Saccharomyces cerevisiae S288C: one gene and its partners. The protein of the gene in region 3 binds, or shares a complex with, the protein of the main gene of each other region. Each region holds a gene or a part of one and is shown on either strand. Other genes may lie near its edges. A codon is read from its position in the direction of its gene.

Region 1 (5,329 bases), on a different chromosome or scaffold from region 3:
TCATGCCAATTTTTGGTGTCCTATGGTGTGATCGGTTAGTGAAAGCTGGATGGGTTAATTGGCAAGATGATAGAATGCTACTATTTGTTATAGCAATCAGCTGGAACTTGCCAACGATGACTACCCTTATATATTTCACCGCCAGTTTTACGCCGCCAGAAACAACTGCGCCAATCCAAATGGAGTGTGTTTCATTTTTCTTAATGCTGCAATACCCGCTAATGGTTGTTAGCTTGCCATTTTTAGTGTCTTACTTTCTGAAAGTACAGATGAACCTTTAGTTTTAATCCATTAAACAAAAAATTATTACCACTCCTAATCACTGTTTTAGGGTGGGTTAAAATTAACATTCTCCATTTTTATATAGAACTAATAAAAAACACCTACTTATAGACACGACCAAACTTTCCACAACCTTTCATCAGAGAGAAATGTTGATCAAGTTGAATGCGTGAAAGTAGCAATTCGAAACAACAACTACCTGTCATTCTGCATAGTAGTAGTTACGAAAGGCACAGAAAATAACAAAAAAAAAAAAAAAGTCAATTTTCTACGGTCTCCATCCGTACCTCTTTAAATCCGTACATTATTGTTTTGCTTAATTTCAATATTTCGGAAAAAGCGAGCGCCCTGGTAAAATGTGGTTCAAGCCTGCGAGCCTTTGCTTGGTAACTCACCAAATGCAATTCAGTCACGTTCCACACAGTTTGGGTTTCCAGCCTGGCTTTAGGGAAGAATGGGCTCACTAGGCGTTCATAATACGCGGAGGGGGAAATACCAAATGCTATTGATTATGGTTAAAATATGTGTTATTTGACTTTGTATATACAAACAGAAGAGAAACCAACACACTAAAGACTAGACACATAACTGACCAATGTCCTCTGTCCAATCCAAGATCTTATCCCAAGCTCCAAGTGAGTTGGAATTACAAGTCGCCAAGACCTTCATCGATCTAGAAAGCTCCTCTCCAGAACTAAAGGCTGACTTGAGACCATTGCAAATCAAATCTATCAGAGAAGTATGTTAAAAGTTATATAATTTGGAAGCAGCAACATTGTGATTTCTTCTAAAGGGGTTCTTTGCAGTAATTTTTTCAAAAAAGAGTGATTTTGAGCAGTATCTGTATGAAATTTTCATGTGTTCGAGAAAAATAGTAATTCCGAGAGCTGTCAATACCATGAACGTTGCGATGAGCCTTTGAACTATAAAGGCCTCCTTGGTCAGTACCAATATCGATGAATAAAATAGAAGCACGCGAAAAAGACCTTACCCCAAGGAGAAGAATCACAAACCCTTTTTTGTTATGAATGAACCAATTCAGTTACTAACTTTATTTCAACGCTGCTTGATTCTTATTGTTTAGATTGATGTCACCGGTGGTAAGAAAGCACTAGTCCTTTTTGTCCCAGTTCCAGCTTTGTCTGCATACCATAAGGTCCAAACCAAATTGACCCGTGAATTGGAAAAGAAATTCCCTGACCGTCATGTTATTTTCTTGGCTGAAAGAAGAATCTTGCCAAAACCATCTAGAACATCTAGACAAGTCCAAAAGAGACCAAGATCCAGAACTTTGACTGCTGTTCACGACAAGGTTTTGGAAGACATGGTTTTCCCAACTGAAATTGTCGGTAAAAGAGTTAGATATTTGGTTGGTGGTAACAAGATCCAAAAGGTTTTGTTAGACTCCAAGGATGTTCAACAAATCGACTACAAGTTGGAATCTTTCCAAGCTGTCTACAACAAGTTGACTGGCAAACAAATTGTTTTTGAAATTCCAAGCCAGACCAACTAAATAGTGAGATAACTATCATTCTCATCATTTGTCATACTTAAAGAAAATAATATTAAGAAAAAATAATAAAAAAAGAAACATAGTTATGAGAATACAAAAGGAGGTTTCCAAAAAGTGGGCTTTTTTAATTCGAGTAAAATAATTATGAATGTATACTTAAATATATTTTGTATCTGTCAATATAGAGATGCTTTAATTGGTGTTTTGACATTTTGGAATACATATTGGGTTGATTTCCCAAGTTCTCGCTGCAATCAGATAAAAAGGAAAAAAAATAATGGTTGCTAAGAGATTCGAACTCTTGCATCTTACGATACCTGAGTATTCCCACAGTTAACTGCGGTCAAGATATTTCTTGAATCAGGCGCCTTAGACCGCTCGGCCAAACAACCACTTATTTGTTGAAGAAAAAGCATTATTTATCGCTAGACAACGATACGTCCATCAACAACCGTTAGTTCTTTCACATTGATATGCGGATTACTTATCTGAAGGAAAGGAAAAAGGCGTGGAACAAGTGAGCATTAACATAACCATCTGAAATCTTAGATGATCCCAAGTATGTGTAATTAGATCCGCCTCTTCGCCCAGCACATTGTCCATGCATTATCTGCTTACCTCTACGCGTACCTTGACATGGCGTGTTACGTGTTTCAACTTTGTATAATCAGAATTTCATTTGAGTATATTTTACAAGTCAAAAGCCCAAATGACGTATACTTGAAATAATTGAGGCACGTCCAATTGTGAGTGGCAAACCTTTTTTTCGGTATTCTAGATAGAGCTAATCGCGTATTTGCAATTATAGTTTACAATTCTTAGACGATTTCCGAAGAAAGTTAAAAATGCCCTTGAAAAAAAAATATGTAGGAAAGAGTGCATGCACATGAAGAAGAAAGAAAGAGCTAGGGAAAAAACGAAAAAGGAGCCTAAGGAAAAGAGTTAGGCGTTTACAACAGGACGAACCCGGAAGGAGAAAAGTTTGTAGTCTTGCAGTATCACAAACAGCAACCACGTTCATAGTCTGAAATACGTACAAATGAGTTCACCAGCGAACCTATTCCCTGGATTAAACGACATAACTGACGTGCTGGAGGAATTCCCACTGGCCACCTCCAGATATTTAACATTACTACACGAAATAGATGCAAAATGTGTGCATTCTATGCCGAATTTGAACGAGAGGATAGATAAGTTCTTGAAGAAAGACTTCAATAAAGATCACCAAACACAAGTAAGACTGCTCAATAATATCAACAAGATTTATGAAGAACTGATGCCATCGCTGGAGGAGAAAATGCATGTCTCATCCATTATGCTGGATAATCTAGACAGATTGACGTCCCGGTTAGAATTGGCGTATGAAGTCGCAATCAAGAACACAGAAATTCCTAGAGGTTTAAGACTGGGTGTGGACAACCATCCAGCAATGCACCTCCATCATGAACTAATGGAAAAAATAGAGAGCAAATCAAACAGCAAATCGTCGCAGGCACTGAAGAGCGAATCAAGAAGAGAAGCCATGGCTGCCAACAGGAGGCAGGGCGAACATTACTCCGCCAGCACACACCAACAAGACGACTCAAAGAACGACGCAAACTACGGAGGCAGCAGGCACGAGAGCCAAGACCACACTGGTAACAACACAAACTCAAGAAAAAGAGCCAACGCTGCCAATACCAACAACGCCGATCCAGAGACCAAAAAACGCAAGAGGAGAGTTGCCACCACAGCCGTTTCACCAAGCACTATCAGCACGGCAACTGCCGTCAATAATGGCAGGATAGGTACATCTACAGCGTCCAGGGGAGTTAGCAGCGTCGGAAACAGCAACAACAGCAGGATATCAAGACCAAAAACCAACGACTACGGCGAACCGCTCTACTGCTACTGTAACCAAGTGGCATACGGGGAAATGGTGGGGTGTGATGGCGCAGACTGTGAGCTAGAATGGTTCCATTTGCCATGTATTGGACTCGAAACTCTACCTAAGGGCAAGTGGTATTGCGACGACTGCAAAAAAAAACTGTGAAATAGCTCTCGGGCGAATATCGCCTTAAGGAAATATCTACTAAATACCGAATATATACATATATATATATCTTAGCTACATATATATATATCTTAGCGTTTTAACGGGCGTGGCCGTATCAATGGATCTGCAAGATACTTGGGCCCTACCGGTCTAGATAAAATATTCAAATCGATGGTGATGACGGCACGATAAAACGTAATAAATGATGAAATGACTTGTCACGGCGTAGCAGCGCCAGCAGCTCAGTCTAATCGCCGTACAGTGGGTGGTGTGGCTAATCGCTTAGGCTTTTTATTCAGAAGGACCTTTTCATTCACCTCGCCCCCCTTGGAGGTTCCTGCCTGACCCCTTTGCCCCTGGCCTCGCCCCTGCGCCATGTCTCTGCCTGGAGCGTGACATTTAGGACGGTGAAGCTAGGCAGGCCTTCAGAAATTAAACGGAACATGACAGCAAAGACGAAACAAAGCTGGAATAAGGGGATCTGGGAAAACGGGAAACAAGGTTCACATCAGCAAACATTTCTACCGAAAATCTGGGTAAACATTTATAGTACCCCAACATCTTAAGTTTTAGCCGTTGTCTTCTCTTATCGCCTAGAATCGCTCATTTCAAGCGTAACGCAATCCGGCTTTTGTTTTTTTTCCATTTTATTCATCCACTCTTTATCTGACTCTTCTGCACTATATTAATCAACTAGGAGAAAATTACTTGAGCAGAAAGATACGAGAGAATTACGGATAAAAAAACCAAGTTAACCGTTTTCGAATTGAAAGGAGATATACAGAAAAAAAAATGCCTTTGAACAAGTCGAACATAAGAGAGTACAAGCTAGTCGTCGTTGGTGGTGGTGGTGTTGGTAAATCTGCTTTGACCATACAATTGACCCAATCGCACTTTGTAGATGAATACGATCCCACAATTGAGGATTCATACAGGAAGCAAGTGGTGATTGATGATGAAGTGTCTATATTGGACATTTTGGATACTGCAGGGCAGGAAGAATACTCTGCTATGAGGGAACAATACATGCGCAACGGCGAAGGATTCCTATTGGTTTACTCTATAACGTCCAAGTCGTCTCTTGATGAGCTTATGACTTACTATCAACAGATATTGAGAGTCAAAGATACCGACTATGTTCCAATTGTGGTTGTTGGTAACAAATCTGATTTAGAAAACGAAAAACAGGTCTCTTACCAGGACGGGTTGAACATGGCAAAGCAAATGAACGCTCCTTTCTTGGAGACATCTGCTAAGCAAGCAATCAACGTGGAAGAGGCGTTTTACACTCTAGCACGTTTAGTTAGAGACGAAGGCGGCAAGTACAACAAGACTTTGACGGAAAATGACAACTCCAAGCAAACTTCTCAAGATACAAAAGGGAGCGGTGCCAACTCTGTGCCTAGAAATAGCGGTGGCCACAGGAAGATGAGCAATGCTGCCAACGGTAAAAATGTGAACAGTAGCACAACTGTCGTGAATGCCAGGAATGCAAGCAT
Region 2 (5,571 bases), on a different chromosome or scaffold from region 3:
ACCTTTCCCGCAGGGCCTTGTTGATTTTACAGAAACCCAATTGATATTAGTAAATGATACTGAGCAGAAACTAAGTGCTCTAAAATATGCTAACGAAGATGAAGAATATGCATTACCTAAAATAGGGACAAATTCTGCTTTATCAATTGATCTTGAATCTCTCCCCTGCACAATTTCAAGAGATCTTTTGCGACCTGCACCTCACATCAATGATGATAATTCAATATATGCCTTTACAGACGCTGAAACTCTACTGCGCCTGGATGTCACAAGTGGATCGTTTATAACAGTGTCAAATATGGGTTGCGTCAGGCTAGTTAAGCTGTTTGTTTTACTACTCCCCAACGGCTTTAAAAAAAGAACAATATACGCACCTCCCAAAATAATAGCAAGCTTTCCAGACTGCAGCGTCGTGACAATATCAAAGTCCAATATAGGCCATACAGATATTCCCATTGCTAATCAAGTTTTCATCTCAAGAGTTGGAGGCTGGCTTCAATCTCAGAAATGCTTTCAAAATATTATTCTAACAACCTTGAAAAAGTTTTTTAGCGAGAGCAAAAGGATTCTTTGTCAAAATGATTTAATCCCAATCGCTTTTGATTCAAGTATGGCTGATCTCAATATAGCAGAGGAAAATGATGAGTCTGATGACGAAGATGAGCTAGGGCAGTACTACAAGAACGATTCCCTTGTATGGTTCTTTGTCACAAGCGCAGAGCTCGATTGCTTCTCTAAAGATAATTCTCATTTTATTATTGATCCCAATCGGACGAAGCTAATAACAACTAATATCACTAACAGAAGACCATTACCCTTGAGTAGATCCAATCTTCAGAGATATTACGGTTTTGCTGAAACTTTTTACTATGATTTGCATATCTTCCCCTATGTAAGACAATTGGTTAACATATTAGAAACTTCCTTCAATTGTTCTCAAAGGGGAATCACCCTAAATGCCTCTGTGTTACTTCATTCCACTACAAACAATGTGGGCAAGGCTACAATGGTGAGATTTGCTTCAAAATATCTTGGTATACATCTACTGGAGATAGATTGCCTTTCGCTCACTTCAAATTCAAGACAACTGGATTCAACATCTAAGATTATTGGTTACATTAGGGCTAAATGTGAAAATGTCCTACCGTACGCATCACCTGCTGTGATTTTTTTGGCTCATTTGGATTCAATTTTGCTTGACGTAAACGCTAATCAAGATCCAGAGGCAATCAAATTACAAAAATCTATAAACTTCGAAATGTCTAAACTTCTGGACGATTTTACGTTTAAATTCCCAGGAACTACATTTGTTGGCTCCGTAAATAACATAGATAACGTGCCTTCCAGCTTTAGATCACATATGAGATTTGAGATTCTCGTACCCGTTCCGTCTGAAGCACAGAGACTGCGTATCTTTCAGTGGTACTTATCTTCACATGAACTAAACAGAGATGTTCAACAAAAGGTTCCAGTATCTTACATGGATAATATTTCATTTTCATCACTCTCTTCATATTCTGCTGGTTTAACTCCTTTAGACATCAAATCAATTGTGGAAACGGCACGAATGACGGCTACTGCGCGTTTTTACCAAGAATCAAAGAAGTGTGGATGGCTTCCGCAATCAATTTTGATCACTCAGGAGGATTTATCAAAAGCTACTTCGAAAGCTAGGAACGAATTCTCGGTTTCGATTGGTGCCCCACAAATCCCTAACGTAACTTGGGATGATATAGGTGGTATTGATTTTGTTAAAGGTGAAATATTGGACACAATAGACATGCCGCTAAAACATCCTGAATTATTTACCTCAGGTATGAAAAAGAGAAGCGGTATTCTTTTTTATGGTCCACCGGGTACAGGTAAAACTCTAATGGCTAAGGCCATTGCAACAAATTTTTCTTTAAATTTTTTTAGTGTTAAAGGCCCTGAACTGTTGAATATGTACATTGGTGAGAGTGAAGCTAATGTGCGCAGAGTGTTTCAAAAGGCGAGAGAGGCTAAACCTTGTGTCATATTTTTCGATGAAATCGATTCAGTAGCACCCAAACGTGGTAATCAAGGTGATTCGGGTGGTGTTATGGATCGTATCGTTTCACAGTTACTAGCAGAGTTAGATGGTATGAGTACCGACGCTGACGGTGTATTTGTTATCGGAGCAACAAACAGACCAGACTTATTGGACGAAGCACTACTAAGACCAGGACGATTCGATAAATTGTTATATTTAGGCATTCCGGATACGGATACCAAACAATTGAATATTTTAGAGGCTCTGACTCGCAAATTCGTGCTCGACAACGACGTAAAGCTTATTGAGTTGGCAAAGCTATGTCCATTTAATTACACCGGGGCAGATTTTTATGCTCTCTGCTCAGATGCAATGCTTAACGCCATGTCAAGAATTGCACGCATGGTAGAAAAAAAAGTTTCTCAGCATAACGAATTGACGGGAGAGAATATTTCTACACGTCGCTGGTTTGATAAGATTGCGACAAAAGAGGATACTAAGGTTGTCGTAAAAATGGAAGACTTCTTGAAAGCACAAGAGCAGCTCACCCCAAGTGTGTCGCGGGCTGAACTGAATCATTATGAAGCGGTGAGAGCTAATTTTGAAGGTGCTTAAGTAATATCAACTCAGAGCGTATAGGTAAATTTGTAAATATATGTCCCATATTTTGCCTTGAAATTTATCTTTTTATTTACTTACCCTCCCCGGCTCATAGTATCTATCGAAAGGGAAAAACAGAAAAGATACTAGTAGTTGATTATACATAATAAAAATTTGAAGTAATAACCATAAAGGTTCATAAAACAATTGCGCCATACAAAACATTCGTGGCTACAACTCGATATCCGTGCAGATGGTATATGAAGCAACACCTTTTGATCCGATCACGGTCAAGCCAAGCGATAAAAGACGCGTTGCATATTTTTACGATGCAGACGTTGGGAACTATGCATATGGAGCAGGTCACCCGATGAAGCCGCATAGAATAAGAATGGCACATTCCCTTATTATGAATTATGGCTTGTACAAGAAGATGGAAATTTACAGAGCTAAGCCGGCAACGAAACAAGAAATGTGTCAGTTCCATACTGATGAATACATTGATTTTTTATCGAGGGTTACTCCAGATAATTTAGAAATGTTTAAAAGAGAAAGTGTCAAGTTTAATGTCGGAGATGATTGTCCTGTCTTTGATGGGCTCTATGAGTACTGTAGCATATCTGGTGGTGGCTCTATGGAAGGAGCTGCTCGTCTGAATAGAGGCAAATGTGATGTTGCTGTCAACTATGCGGGTGGTTTGCATCATGCAAAAAAATCGGAAGCTTCTGGGTTTTGTTATTTAAATGACATAGTACTGGGCATTATTGAGCTACTACGATACCACCCCAGAGTTCTGTATATTGATATTGATGTGCACCATGGTGATGGTGTAGAGGAAGCGTTTTATACAACGGATCGTGTCATGACATGTTCTTTCCACAAATATGGTGAGTTTTTCCCTGGCACAGGTGAACTGAGAGATATAGGGGTGGGTGCAGGAAAAAACTACGCGGTCAATGTGCCATTAAGAGACGGTATTGACGATGCTACGTATAGATCTGTGTTTGAACCTGTGATAAAAAAAATTATGGAATGGTATCAACCTTCTGCTGTCGTGTTACAGTGTGGTGGGGACTCCTTGTCCGGCGATCGTCTTGGTTGCTTTAATCTTTCCATGGAAGGCCATGCTAATTGTGTAAACTATGTGAAATCCTTTGGGATCCCAATGATGGTTGTTGGTGGAGGAGGCTATACTATGAGAAATGTTGCAAGGACATGGTGCTTTGAAACAGGTCTACTAAATAACGTTGTCTTGGATAAAGATTTACCGTACAATGAATATTACGAATATTACGGTCCAGATTATAAGTTAAGTGTTAGACCTTCGAATATGTTCAATGTAAATACTCCCGAATATCTTGACAAGGTAATGACCAATATATTTGCTAATTTGGAAAACACAAAGTATGCCCCTAGTGTTCAGTTGAATCACACACCTAGGGATGCCGAAGATTTGGGTGATGTTGAAGAAGATTCTGCCGAGGCTAAAGATACGAAGGGTGGTTCGCAATATGCGAGGGACCTACATGTTGAGCATGACAATGAATTCTATTGAAAAAAAGAGTTGGAAGTATATACGAATATAAATAATGTGAAACAAAAGAAGAAAAGTGAATAAAAGGCACTTAAGACGCTATCCAATTGTGTATGAGAAGTGCAAACTCAATTTTTTTGCAAAAGACTTTTCTCAAACCTTTAATTGATGCGTTCCGTTCATACATCAACCGCGTCCCATACGTTTCGAAGAAAATTGCCTATATGTGTTATTTACATACTAGAGATATTTTAATATTGAAACAGTTGTATTTCTATTGTAATTACTATCTAAACGTCTCGTCCCACCGCTGTTGATAAAGCGGTGCCAATATAATTTATAATCACGCCTGGGTAAATGACTTTTAATTTCTTAAATCATCGAAGTATGCGAAAACAAGAAGTCTTTATTCATAATAAAAAACAAATTCGGTTACTACGACTTTTATATGTCATTCAATATTTGGTAATAATTTTACAGTATTAACCCTATCCTCATCTGATTCACTCTCTTCTAATTGCATATATTTTCAAATTCGCTTTCAGCGCTGTACAAAACCAGTAAGCAGATCTCGTACGAAGACTCAAATAAGTTGCATTGTTCGTATTCAAGGAAACCGGGGGGCAAAATTTCCAACCATATTTAAGTATGACAATATTTCCAAGTCAAGGATGCATGCTGTTCTTCTCTTCATTAACTAGCTAACCAATTAGCTGAACGGCTTTGTATTTTACTTAACATATTGTCTATTGCATAAAAAACCACTATTCAGCATGACTGACTTGTTTAAACCTCTACCTGAACCACCTACCGAATTGGGACGTCTCAGGGTTCTTTCTAAAACTGCCGGCATAAGGGTTTCACCGCTAATTCTGGGAGGAGCTTCAATCGGCGACGCATGGTCAGGCTTTATGGGCTCTATGAATAAGGAACAGGCCTTTGAACTTCTTGATGCTTTTTATGAAGCTGGAGGTAATTGTATTGATACTGCAAACAGTTACCAAAATGAAGAGTCAGAGATTTGGATAGGTGAATGGATGGCATCAAGAAAACTGCGTGACCAGATTGTAATTGCCACCAAGTTTACCGGAGATTATAAGAAGTATGAAGTAGGTGGTGGTAAAAGTGCCAACTACTGTGGTAATCACAAGCGTAGTTTACATGTGAGTGTGAGGGATTCTCTCCGCAAATTGCAAACTGATTGGATTGATATACTTTACATTCACTGGTGGGATTATATGAGTTCAATCGAAGAAGTTATGGATAGTTTGCATATTTTAGTTCAGCAGGGCAAGGTCCTATATTTAGGAGTATCTGATACACCTGCTTGGGTTGTTTCTGCGGCAAATTACTACGCTACATCTCATGGTAAAACTCCTTTTAGCGTCTATCAAGGTAAATGGAATGTATTGAACAGGGACTTTGA
Region 3 (3,572 bases):
ATTCTTCTGTTTTGGAGTTTGACTCCATAGAGGAAATTCCAAATGAGAGAAAGTCCAATATTAAGGAGCAAATCCATAGCATAACGAACGACGTTTTCTTAGCTGCTGTAAATGTAAATAGATTAAACTTCCAACCGTTACCAAACGCATTTGAAACATATGGCGTAGACTTTTTGATTGATTCGAATTACGAAGTTAAATTACTAGAGATCAACGCTTTCCCAGACTTCAAACAAACTGGGAAAGATTTGAAGAACCTCATTGATGAATTATTTGATGACACTGTCAAATACTGTGTTACCCCCATCTTTAACGAGAATAGAAATAAGACAGATGATGAAACAGACCCGAACTTCGTAAAAGTCATTGATTACACTTCAAACGGTTGGTGAAACAAAAAAAAAAAAAGAACCCATCCTAAAATACTGTTATTATTACTAAATAGTGCTAAATAATACATATGCCTTGATTTTATTTCCGAAATTTTTTGTTTTGTCAATTTAGGCTCTATTAGCTTCTTCATCAGGTTCATTATCGTCTACAACACCGTCTTCCATGGTATTTTCAATTTCTTCCTCAAAATTTGTTGTCTTATTTGTTGTAGCACTGATCAGACCTCTCTTCACAACACGTAGAGCCACCGGGATAGTAATATCATCGTCAGATATACCCAAATATTCCCGACTCCAATTTAAAATCCTACCTCTTATTCTATTGGCTTTTATTACAGACTTTCTGATTTTTTGTAAGTTTCTTATGAATTCTTTATTCCTCTGTAGTGCAATCTGCGACAGCTGTCGGGCAGACTCAATTTCCTCATTTAACTGTTGTTGTTCGGCCGCTGTTAATGTTGATATAGAAGCAGAACCGGAAGAAGATGGCAGCAACGATAACAGCGCATTAGATTGTTCCAACCTTGGCAATGCAAAAAAAGGATCTTCCTCTCCAAATTCTTCCATGCCATTATTGATATGACCAGCTTCAGTAGACAAACTATTCGAGTTAACCTCGTTGATATTGTTTTTGTTGTTAATGTCATCCTCGTCGCTTGCCCCTCTATCCTCTGGAAGGGTCAAATTGTGATTATAAGATGGTAGGTTCAAGTTAGATTCATAAATTGGTTCAGGATGATCTCCTAAAAAAACCTCCAAAAACTGGGAATATCTAACAACTGACATCTGTTCTTTTTCAATCATTAGAATTATTTGCAAGGCTAAATTTTTCAAAATTGGGCTTGAAAATGTCCTTGAGATAGTTTTATGATTTATTATATCCCCTAGGGAAAGAATGGGAGTCAAAATCTCCTTTACATTCACTAGTTTTGATAGGTCGTCATCGTCTTCTTCGCCGTAATACTCATCAGTGATATTTTCGTCTTCCTTCTCACTACCATCGATGTCGTTTTCATCACCGACTAAAACAGGCTCGACGTTGATGTCAGGTGTGAATTTTATTCTTTTGCGTCTACTATCAGTGACAATATTTGTTTGCAGAAGGCGATGCTCCGAACCGTTATAGAACACAGTTTGCTCAATCATTGGCTTAGAATTGTTCAAGTCTCTTCTTGTTACTACTTCGCTTCTCTGCAAAAGTTTGTTACCTCTGTTAGAGGATATGCCAGTGGCCTCAGGATAGATTAGTTTTCCATCAAGGGATCTTTTCAGTACCTGATAGTTACCGCTTTTTTCCTTTATTATCCTTCTAGTAAATGTGCTAATTATATTCGATTCATTAGCTAACACACTCTTGCTTTCCAATTCTGCGTTGTTTTTCATACTGCTCCTAATAGTCATCTCGATCAACAAGAAGCAACAGCTGAGATATTTGTTTCTCAACCTCTTTTTTGCAGGAGATGCTGTCATCAAGCAACGTTTCTTCTATTTGAAAGCGATTGTTTTACCAGAACAAAGTTCGCTACCCGGCTTCGGTCCTCTTGGGTATAGGAGACAATAATGATCTTCGAATAACGCCGTTATAAAGTGAACATTATAATTATCCGCTTAAAGGCTTTTTAGTAATTTTGTAAAACAATTGCTTCTAATTTCAAGACTTCCAAAAGGTTTCTCGAGTAACTAGTGCTTTCCAATATCTACAACAAAATAAAATAATAGAATAATGGGTGTTTGCACTATTTTTAGGTGGCTCTTTGCTGCTTACTTGCTCTCTTCATATAAGTCGCTTCCTGGGGCATATTTTGTTAGGTTTTATTATTATGTTATTCAAAACTTGTTCTTGCCTATGTTTACAGGGTTTGAAACCGAGAATATTAAGAAACTTGAGAAAAATGAATATGGCTGTTTCTCGTACACCAGCCTAGATACCTATGCCTCTCCATTCGAATGTGACTTCTACTTTCATAAGAGCAATAGCACCTATTTTGCGGAATTGGACATTTCAAGAGGTAATCTCATGTGCAAGATTTTTCAAAAATTGATGCTGAATTCCAAGCATTATCCATATATTCCAGTTGCGAACGTTTTCACTAATTTCTTGAAGGAAATCAAGCCTTTTCAAAAGTACTCGGTTTCATCAAGGATTATCTGTTGGGATGAGAAATGGATTTACGTCATGAGTAGATTCACAATTAAAAAGGGCACCGTCTTATGCTCATTATCATTGACCAAATACGTCCTTAAGGACGGTAGAAAGACCATCAAACCAAAGGATGCTCTTGAATACTGTGGTTTATATAATGAGAAGGTCGCCAAAATTTCTGAGGACAATCTAAAGCTTTTAACCGAGCGTTGTGGTTTCCACGAGACAGTACCATTGGAAAACTTGAGCCAAGAGTACTGTTCAGAAATCTAACTTCTATACACATATAGCCGGTATTATAAAATATATAAATCTATCTTCTTTCAAAAGTTTCTCTGTGCAGTCTGCGTTATATTTTATCTTCGGTAGAAAACAAGGTAAATTTCCCTTATTTTTCAACATCATAAAAATGAAAAACAGATATATCTTAAGTAAGATACTTAAGCAGACAAGTTGAATTGGAGAAATACAAAAGCTGTAAGGTTATCAAAAAGGAAGGCATACAGTATAATGGGGGCACAATTATCACTAGTGGTCCAAGCATCACCTTCCATAGCCATTTTTTCATATATCGATGTCTTAGAGGAAGTACACTACGTTTCACAGTTAAACTCATCAAGATTCTTAAAAACATGCAAGGCACTGGACCCTAACGGCGAAATTGTTATCAAAGTGTTTATTAAACCAAAAGACCAATATAGCTTACGACCTTTTCTCCAACGTATAAGGGCTCAATCGTTTAAGTTGGGACAACTACCGCACGTTTTAAACTACAGTAAATTGATCGAGACAAATAGAGCCGGCTACATGATACGGCAGCACTTAAAAAATAATTTATATGACAGATTGAGTTTGAGACCTTACTTACAAGACATTGAACTGAAATTCATTGCTTTCCAGTTGTTAAATGCATTAAAGGACATTCATAATCTGAATATTGTCCATGGTGATATAAAGACAGAAAATATCCTAGTAACAAGTTGGAATTGGTGTATATTGACAGATTTTGCTGCATTTATCAAACCCGTATATTTGCC
Region 4 (5,417 bases), on a different chromosome or scaffold from region 3:
TACAGACGAAGATTGGGATTACATTTCTAACATTTTCCAGAAAATCATTAACGATAATCAAGATTCTGTCAAGTTTCTGGCAGTTGATTGTTTAATTTCCATCTTGAAATTTTTTAACGCTAAAGGTGATGAGTCTCACACTCAAGATTTATTGAACTCTGCTGTCAAATTAATTGGTGACGAAGCGTGGAGGGTACGTTACATGGCTGCCGATAGATTTTCAGATTTAGCCTCGCAATTCAGTTCCAACCAAGCATATATCGATGAATTAGTACAACCATTTTTGAACCTTTGTGAGGACAACGAGGGAGATGTTAGGGAAGCTGTGGCTAAACAAGTTTCTGGGTTTGCCAAGTTCCTAAATGATCCTTCAATTATATTGAATAAGATCTTACCTGCTGTGCAGAATTTGAGTATGGACGAAAGTGAAACAGTGAGATCTGCTTTGGCTTCTAAGATTACAAATATTGTATTACTGTTGAATAAAGATCAAGTCATTAACAATTTTCTTCCGATTTTACTGAATATGCTAAGAGATGAGTTCCCTGACGTTCGTTTAAATATCATTGCCAGCTTGAAGGTTGTCAATGACGTAATAGGAATTGAGCTGCTATCAGACTCTTTGTTACCTGCCATAACAGAATTAGCCAAGGACGTGAATTGGAGAGTTAGAATGGCTATAATTGAGTACATACCTATCTTGGCAGAACAATTAGGTATGCAATTTTTTGACCAACAGTTAAGCGATTTATGTCTTTCATGGTTGTGGGATACTGTTTATTCTATCAGAGAAGCCGCAGTGAATAATTTAAAAAGGTTAACGGAAATATTTGGCTCTGATTGGTGTCGTGATGAAATTATTTCAAGACTGCTCAAATTTGATCTACAATTACTGGAAAATTTTGTCTCGAGGTTCACAATACTCTCTGCTCTAACCACTTTGGTGCCCGTGGTATCGTTAGATGTCGTTACTGAGCAACTATTACCATTCATTTCTCACTTGGCTGATGACGGTGTTCCAAATATTAGGTTTAATGTGGCCAAATCCTACGCTGTGATAGTGAAGGTTTTAATTAAGGACGAGGCCAAATATGATGCATTAATTAAGAACACAATTTTACCCTCATTGCAAACGCTGTGTCAAGACGAAGATGTTGATGTAAAATACTTCGCTAAGAAAAGTTTGGCAGAATGTCAAGAACTTTTAAAAAATTGATACTAGTTCAAATATATACATACATACACATATGTACACTTGAATGAATAAAAAGTATACATATTAACAACTAGGCCTGCTTTCTTTTCTTTTCTTTTTTTTTTTTTTTACCACACTTAGTCCTCTACTTTAACAGAAATATCATTTTCCAGTTTGACCATAGTTTCTTCAACTGTTTTCTCCTCGTGTTTAACATTGATTTCCGCCTCCACGTTCAGTTCACGTTTTCCTTCCAGGTATTTCACCCACTTTGGATAACTCATGATATTTTGCTGGATTTCCTTGTACAATTGAGACTGCAAATCCCAATCTAAGGAGCTTCTGGGATCATCCGGTGGCAAGAATTGTAACATGTCACCAAGGTTCCTCGATTTAGTGATTATTTGTCCAAATCCAACCAGCAACCCATTTATTTCTGTCCAAAGCCCCTTAGGCAGCCAATTTTGTAATTGAGTTCTTGTCTGATCTGGAGTCTTGCATTTCTGCGCATCTACCCATTTCCAAAGCTTGGTCAATCTATCCACGTGAACGTCAACGCAGATACCTTCAATCTTGCCCCATGCCTTTTGTAATGTTAGATAAGCCATTTTGGGCCCTACACCGGGCAGGCCCAATAGCTCATTAATCGTAGCTGGAACATCACTCGAAAACTGATCTTGAAGGATTTTGCAGGTTGACAAAATATACTTGGCCTTCCTTGTGTGGAACCCAACTGAATGAATCAATTCGTCTAATTTGGTCTCATTGATTTGTAAAACGGCCTCTAATGTCATACCTTCTTCGCTGTGCAGTTCGTCTATACAATACCGCATTATGTTAAGCATTGCCATTGCGGTAACTTCATCTTTTGTTTGCGATGATAGCATCACCCCAAGAAGGACCTGTAATCTGTAGTCCCTCGGTGATATCTGCTCTTTCGAGATACCACACTTAGAGGCAACCGTTACAGGAATGGATGATCCACCAATTATATCGACGGGGGCTAGAATCTTAGATCTCAGTACTCGCATTCTAGCGTATGTTTCTTGAAACTTGTAAGGGACTTTCGTCGAGGCCGGAGTGACAAGGATCGAGGGGTCCAATGGTGTGGCCCACCTGTTGGGCACATTGCCGTTTCTAACCACAATCCATTCGAAGTACTGCTTATTTGGCAGCGATTTAACCCAGTCGATATCCACGGGTTGAGGGACAACCTCTTCTTGTTTGATTTTGGTCCTTTTCTCCGGTAGGAGTTCTGATTCTGGCCCAGTTTCAGTCTTTACCAGCGGTCTTTTCCTCAGAATTGCCATAGATGAGTATTTACTGATCTTTTGCATATTTTTTTTTTTTTTGGGCTATAAAGTATATATAGATACAAATATATGATGAATCATTAAAGAGGAGGTTATTACTAAGTGAAAGAAAAAGAAAAAAAAAAAGATCAAAACCAAACTTCGTATTCGAGCCTAAAAAACAGAATATAATGTTATAATACTAATAGAAGCAACAGGAGCACCACTATCAGCACAAGAATAATCACGCAGTTGCCGTTATCCTTGAACCTAGAATTGTTAAAGCCATGCATGGACCGAGAGGCCCTGTTCAAATTCCTACCATTATTATCAATCAGGTTTTCTAAATCAACCAGCAGCGAGTCGTTCTGAGAAACGATCTCATTATTAAGGTCCAGCGAAATGTCATGAGTCCTCCCAATAGACTGAGACAGTGCGCCCAAGTGGGAATCTTGCTCTAACAACTGCTGTTGCTGGTTAATAAATAGTTCTTGGTTGGAAACCATGGGTTGTGGTGGCTGTGGCTGTGACTGTGACTGTAACTGCGATTGCAATGGTTCATCCTTGTATGGAGTATGCGTCGAAGGCAGCGGCGACTCCTCGTCTTGTTCATCGTCATCCTTATACATGACCGTAAGCTCGTCATCATTCTTGAACCGCACTTTTTTCAAAGACTCTTTGGACACCTCATCAGTATTTCTTGCCACCTGCTGTTGGAACCTATACAACTCCTTGTCAACCGCCGTATCAGGAATTTTGTCCAGTATGGTATTGTATCGGGATATTAGTTCATCATTGGGCGCACACTTCTGCAATAACTCCAATATTGAGCCCAATTGCCGTTTCAAAGTAACGTTATCGTTTGAGGTCGGGGCGAGCTTCAACACCGACACTAGCCTTGTTCTTTCTTCGACCAGATCAGAGAGCTGGTCCAGTTCATAACCCAGCTTCAACACATCCATACCGTGTGTGCTTACGCATCTATTTGCTGTCGTGAGATCTGTCTCTATGCTTTATTCGTTTTCCATTGTAAAGTCTCAGCATTTATTTCTTGTTCTTTACTTGTTTTTGCCCTTTCGGGTGATCAAAGTCGTGCTGGGAAATTTTATTCTTATAAAATGATTTTTAGAAATAATAAACTCATAACAGTGCAACGGCAAAGTACAAGGGAAGGAAGCACAGAAGCAAGAGGAGGCGCATCGATCGTGGCAGATGAGTCAGCAAACACCACAGGAAAGTGAACAGACCACAGCGAAAGAACAGGACCTTGATCAAGAGAGCGTGTTGAGCAACATTGACTTCAATACGGATTTGAATCACAATTTGAATTTATCGGAATACTGTATATCCAGTGACGCAGGAACAGAGAAGATGGATAGCGACGAGGAGAAGTCGTTGGCCAATCTGCCGGAGTTGAAATACGCTCCCAAGCTATCCAGCCTGGTGAAGCAAGAGACGCTCACCGAGAGCTTGAAAAGACCACACGAAGATGAGAAAGAGGCGATAGATGAGGCCAAGAAGATGAAAGTGCCGGGAGAGAACGAGGACGAAAGCAAGGAAGAGGAAAAGAGTCAAGAACTGGAAGAGGCAATTGACAGCAAGGAGAAGAGCACCGACGCCAGGGACGAGCAAGGGGACGAAGGTGATAATGAGGAGGAAAACAACGAGGAGGATAATGAAAACGAAAACGAGCATACAGCACCGCCTGCGCTGGTGATGCCCTCCCCCATCGAAATGGAGGAACAGAGGATGACTGCGCTGAAGGAAATCACCGACATCGAGTACAAGTTCGCGCAATTGCGCCAAAAACTATATGACAATCAATTGGTGCGGTTGCAAACGGAGCTGCAGATGTGTCTGGAAGGGTCACACCCGGAATTGCAGGTCTACTACTCGAAGATTGCCGCGATCCGTGACTACAAGCTACACCGAGCGTACCAGCGACAGAAGTACGAGCTTTCATGCATCAACACAGAAACAATCGCTACCAGGACATTCATTCACCAGGACTTCCACAAGAAGGTCACCGACCTGCGAGCCAGGCTGCTGAACAGAACCACGCAGACCTGGTACGATATCAACAAGGAGCGCCGCGATATGGATATAGTCATCCCAGATGTCAATTACCACGTCCCCATCAAACTTGATAACAAGACGCTGAGCTGTATCACGGGCTACGCCAGCGCAGCACAGCTGTGCTATCCCGGCGAGCCCGTGGCAGAGGACCTCGCTTGCGAAAGCATCGAGTACCGCTACAGAGCCAACCCGGTGGACAAACTCGAAGTCATTGTGGACCGAATGAGGCTCAATAACGAGATTAGCGACCTCGAAGGCCTGCGCAAATATTTCCACTCCTTCCCGGGTGCTCCTGAGTTGAACCCGCTTAGAGACTCCGAAATCAACGACGACTTCCACCAGTGGGCCCAGTGACCGCCACACTGGACCCCATACCACTTCTTTTTGTTATTCTTAAATATGTTGTAACGCTATGTAATTCCACCCTTCATTACTAATAATTAGCCATTCACGTGATCTCAGCCAGTTGTGGCGCCACACTTTTTTTTCCATAAAAATCCTCGAGGAAAAGAAAAGAAAAAAATATTTCAGTTATTTAAAGCATAAGATGCCAGGTAGATGGAACTTGTGCCGTGCCAGATTGAATTTTGAAAGTACAATTGAGGCCTATACACATAGACATTTGCACCTTATACATATACACACAAGACAAAACCAAAAAAAATATGACTCTACAAGAATCTGATAAATTTGCTACCAAGGCCATTCATGCCGGTGAACATGTGGACGTTCACGGTTCCGTGATCGAACCCATTTCTTTGTCCACCACTTTCAAACAATCTTCTCCAGCTAACCCTATCGGTACTTACGAATACTCCAGATCTCAAAATCCTAACAGAGAGAACTTGGAAAGA

Evidence for each region.
Region 1: the proteins of RXT2 (region 3) and PHO23 are in contact, whole or in part, in a cryo-EM structure (PDB 8HPO), measured with the Saccharomyces cerevisiae proteins. Residues at the interface, in NP_009653.2 of Saccharomyces cerevisiae: Pro168 (codon at 1,292), Ile169 (codon at 1,289), Leu170 (codon at 1,286), Ser171 (codon at 1,283), Leu172 (codon at 1,280), Ile175 (codon at 1,271), Ile181 (codon at 1,253), Thr184 (codon at 1,244), Phe185 (codon at 1,241), Ile189 (codon at 1,229), Leu190 (codon at 1,226), Leu193 (codon at 1,217), Gln196 (codon at 1,208), Met200 (codon at 1,196), Lys203 (codon at 1,187), Ser207 (codon at 1,175), Arg210 (codon at 1,166), Tyr211 (codon at 1,163), Gln213 (codon at 1,157), Phe214 (codon at 1,154), Val217 (codon at 1,145), Phe218 (codon at 1,142), Glu224 (codon at 1,124), Asn298 (codon at 902), Ala299 (codon at 899), Ser302 (codon at 890), Leu303 (codon at 887), Gln323 (codon at 827), Glu327 (codon at 815), Ile328 (codon at 812); in NP_014302.3 of Saccharomyces cerevisiae: Leu7 (codon at 2,853), Phe8 (codon at 2,856), Leu11 (codon at 2,865), Asn12 (codon at 2,868), Ile14 (codon at 2,874), Thr15 (codon at 2,877), Leu18 (codon at 2,886), Glu19 (codon at 2,889), Phe21 (codon at 2,895), Pro22 (codon at 2,898), Thr25 (codon at 2,907), Leu29 (codon at 2,919), Leu32 (codon at 2,928), His33 (codon at 2,931), Asp36 (codon at 2,940), Met43 (codon at 2,961), Leu46 (codon at 2,970), Asn47 (codon at 2,973), Ile50 (codon at 2,982), Asp51 (codon at 2,985), Phe53 (codon at 2,991), Leu54 (codon at 2,994), Lys55 (codon at 2,997), Lys56 (codon at 3,000), Gln63 (codon at 3,021), Gln65 (codon at 3,027), Val66 (codon at 3,030), Leu69 (codon at 3,039), Asn70 (codon at 3,042), Ile72 (codon at 3,048).
Region 2: the proteins of RXT2 (region 3) and RPD3 are in contact, whole or in part, in a cryo-EM structure (PDB 8GA8), measured with the Saccharomyces cerevisiae proteins. Residues at the interface, in NP_009653.2 of Saccharomyces cerevisiae: Ser61 (codon at 1,613), Ser62 (codon at 1,610), Arg64 (codon at 1,604), Arg77 (codon at 1,565), Arg78 (codon at 1,562), Asp79 (codon at 1,559), Leu80 (codon at 1,556), Asn81 (codon at 1,553), Asn82 (codon at 1,550), Ser83 (codon at 1,547), Met86 (codon at 1,538), Ile189 (codon at 1,229); in NP_014069.1 of Saccharomyces cerevisiae: Gly37 (codon at 2,973), Pro39 (codon at 2,979), Asp109 (codon at 3,189), His151 (codon at 3,315), Gly159 (codon at 3,339), Phe160 (codon at 3,342), His188 (codon at 3,426), Glu213 (codon at 3,501), Phe214 (codon at 3,504), Phe215 (codon at 3,507), Gly217 (codon at 3,513), Arg280 (codon at 3,702), Leu281 (codon at 3,705), Tyr340 (codon at 3,882).
Region 4: the proteins of RXT2 (region 3) and DEP1 are in contact, whole or in part, in a cryo-EM structure (PDB 8HPO), measured with the Saccharomyces cerevisiae proteins. Residues at the interface, in NP_009653.2 of Saccharomyces cerevisiae: Asn40 (codon at 1,676), Tyr41 (codon at 1,673), Glu88 (codon at 1,532), Val91 (codon at 1,523), Phe92 (codon at 1,520), Tyr93 (codon at 1,517), Asn94 (codon at 1,514), Glu97 (codon at 1,505), His98 (codon at 1,502), Arg99 (codon at 1,499), Leu100 (codon at 1,496), Leu101 (codon at 1,493), Gln102 (codon at 1,490), Thr103 (codon at 1,487), Asn104 (codon at 1,484), Ser157 (codon at 1,325), Val160 (codon at 1,316), Val162 (codon at 1,310), Lys163 (codon at 1,307), Leu166 (codon at 1,298), Thr167 (codon at 1,295), Pro168 (codon at 1,292), Ile169 (codon at 1,289), Leu215 (codon at 1,151), Leu219 (codon at 1,139), Asp221 (codon at 1,133), His222 (codon at 1,130), Ile226 (codon at 1,118), Tyr227 (codon at 1,115), Glu228 (codon at 1,112); in NP_009389.3 of Saccharomyces cerevisiae: Tyr242 (codon at 4,423), Gln243 (codon at 4,426), Gln245 (codon at 4,432), Lys246 (codon at 4,435), Leu249 (codon at 4,444), Ser250 (codon at 4,447), Asn253 (codon at 4,456), Thr256 (codon at 4,465), Ile257 (codon at 4,468), Arg260 (codon at 4,477), Thr261 (codon at 4,480), His264 (codon at 4,489), Gln265 (codon at 4,492), His268 (codon at 4,501), Thr272 (codon at 4,513), Arg275 (codon at 4,522), Leu279 (codon at 4,534), Asn280 (codon at 4,537), Thr283 (codon at 4,546), Gln284 (codon at 4,549), Trp286 (codon at 4,555), Tyr287 (codon at 4,558), Asp288 (codon at 4,561), Cys341 (codon at 4,720), Glu342 (codon at 4,723), Ser343 (codon at 4,726), Ile344 (codon at 4,729), Arg362 (codon at 4,783), Leu365 (codon at 4,792), Ile369 (codon at 4,804).

What each region holds. Positions count from the first base shown.
Region 1 is NC_001146.8:439,864-445,192, reverse strand, and holds PHO23 (Pho23p), read left to right. Parts: upstream 1-2,834; coding exon 2,835-3,827; downstream 3,828-5,329. Other genes in the region: YNL095C (uncharacterized protein), read left to right, coding at 1-281; 40S ribosomal protein eS7 RPS7B, read left to right, coding at 878-1,021, 1,367-1,795; PLS1 (Pls1p), read left to right, coding at 4,274-4,396; Ras family GTPase RAS2, read left to right, coding at 4,623-5,329. UniProt on the Saccharomyces cerevisiae protein: Component of the RPD3C(L) histone deacetylase complex (HDAC) responsible for the deacetylation of lysine residues on the N-terminal part of the core histones (H2A, H2B, H3 and H4).
Region 2 is NC_001146.8:16,596-22,166, reverse strand, and holds RPD3 (histone deacetylase RPD3), read left to right. Parts: upstream 1-2,864; coding exon 2,865-4,166; downstream 4,167-5,571. Other genes in the region: PEX6 (AAA family ATPase peroxin 6), read left to right, coding at 1-2,626; AAD14 (putative aryl-alcohol dehydrogenase), read left to right, coding at 4,919-5,571. UniProt on the Saccharomyces cerevisiae protein: Catalytic component of the RPD3 histone deacetylase (HDAC) complexes RPD3C(L) and RPD3C(S) responsible for the deacetylation of lysine residues on the N-terminal part of the core histones (H2A, H2B, H3 and H4).
Region 3 is NC_001134.8:433,906-437,477, forward strand, and holds RXT2 (Rxt2p), read right to left. Parts: upstream 1,794-3,572; coding exon 501-1,793; downstream 1-500. Other genes in the region: PBY1 (putative tubulin tyrosine ligase), read left to right, coding at 1-392; YBR096W (uncharacterized protein), read left to right, coding at 2,116-2,808; ubiquitin-binding serine/threonine protein kinase VPS15, read left to right, coding at 3,046-3,572. UniProt on the Saccharomyces cerevisiae protein: Component of the RPD3C(L) histone deacetylase complex (HDAC) responsible for the deacetylation of lysine residues on the N-terminal part of the core histones (H2A, H2B, H3 and H4).
Region 4 is NC_001133.9:125,571-130,987, forward strand, and holds DEP1 (Rpd3L histone deacetylase complex subunit DEP1), read left to right. Parts: upstream 1-3,699; coding exon 3,700-4,917; downstream 4,918-5,417. Other genes in the region: protein phosphatase 2A structural subunit TPD3, read left to right, coding at 1-1,216; bifunctional N-glycosylase/AP lyase NTG1, read right to left, coding at 1,333-2,532; SYN8 (syntaxin), read right to left, coding at 2,682-3,449; cystathionine gamma-lyase CYS3, read left to right, coding at 5,229-5,417. UniProt on the Saccharomyces cerevisiae protein: Component of the RPD3C(L) histone deacetylase complex (HDAC) responsible for the deacetylation of lysine residues on the N-terminal part of the core histones (H2A, H2B, H3 and H4).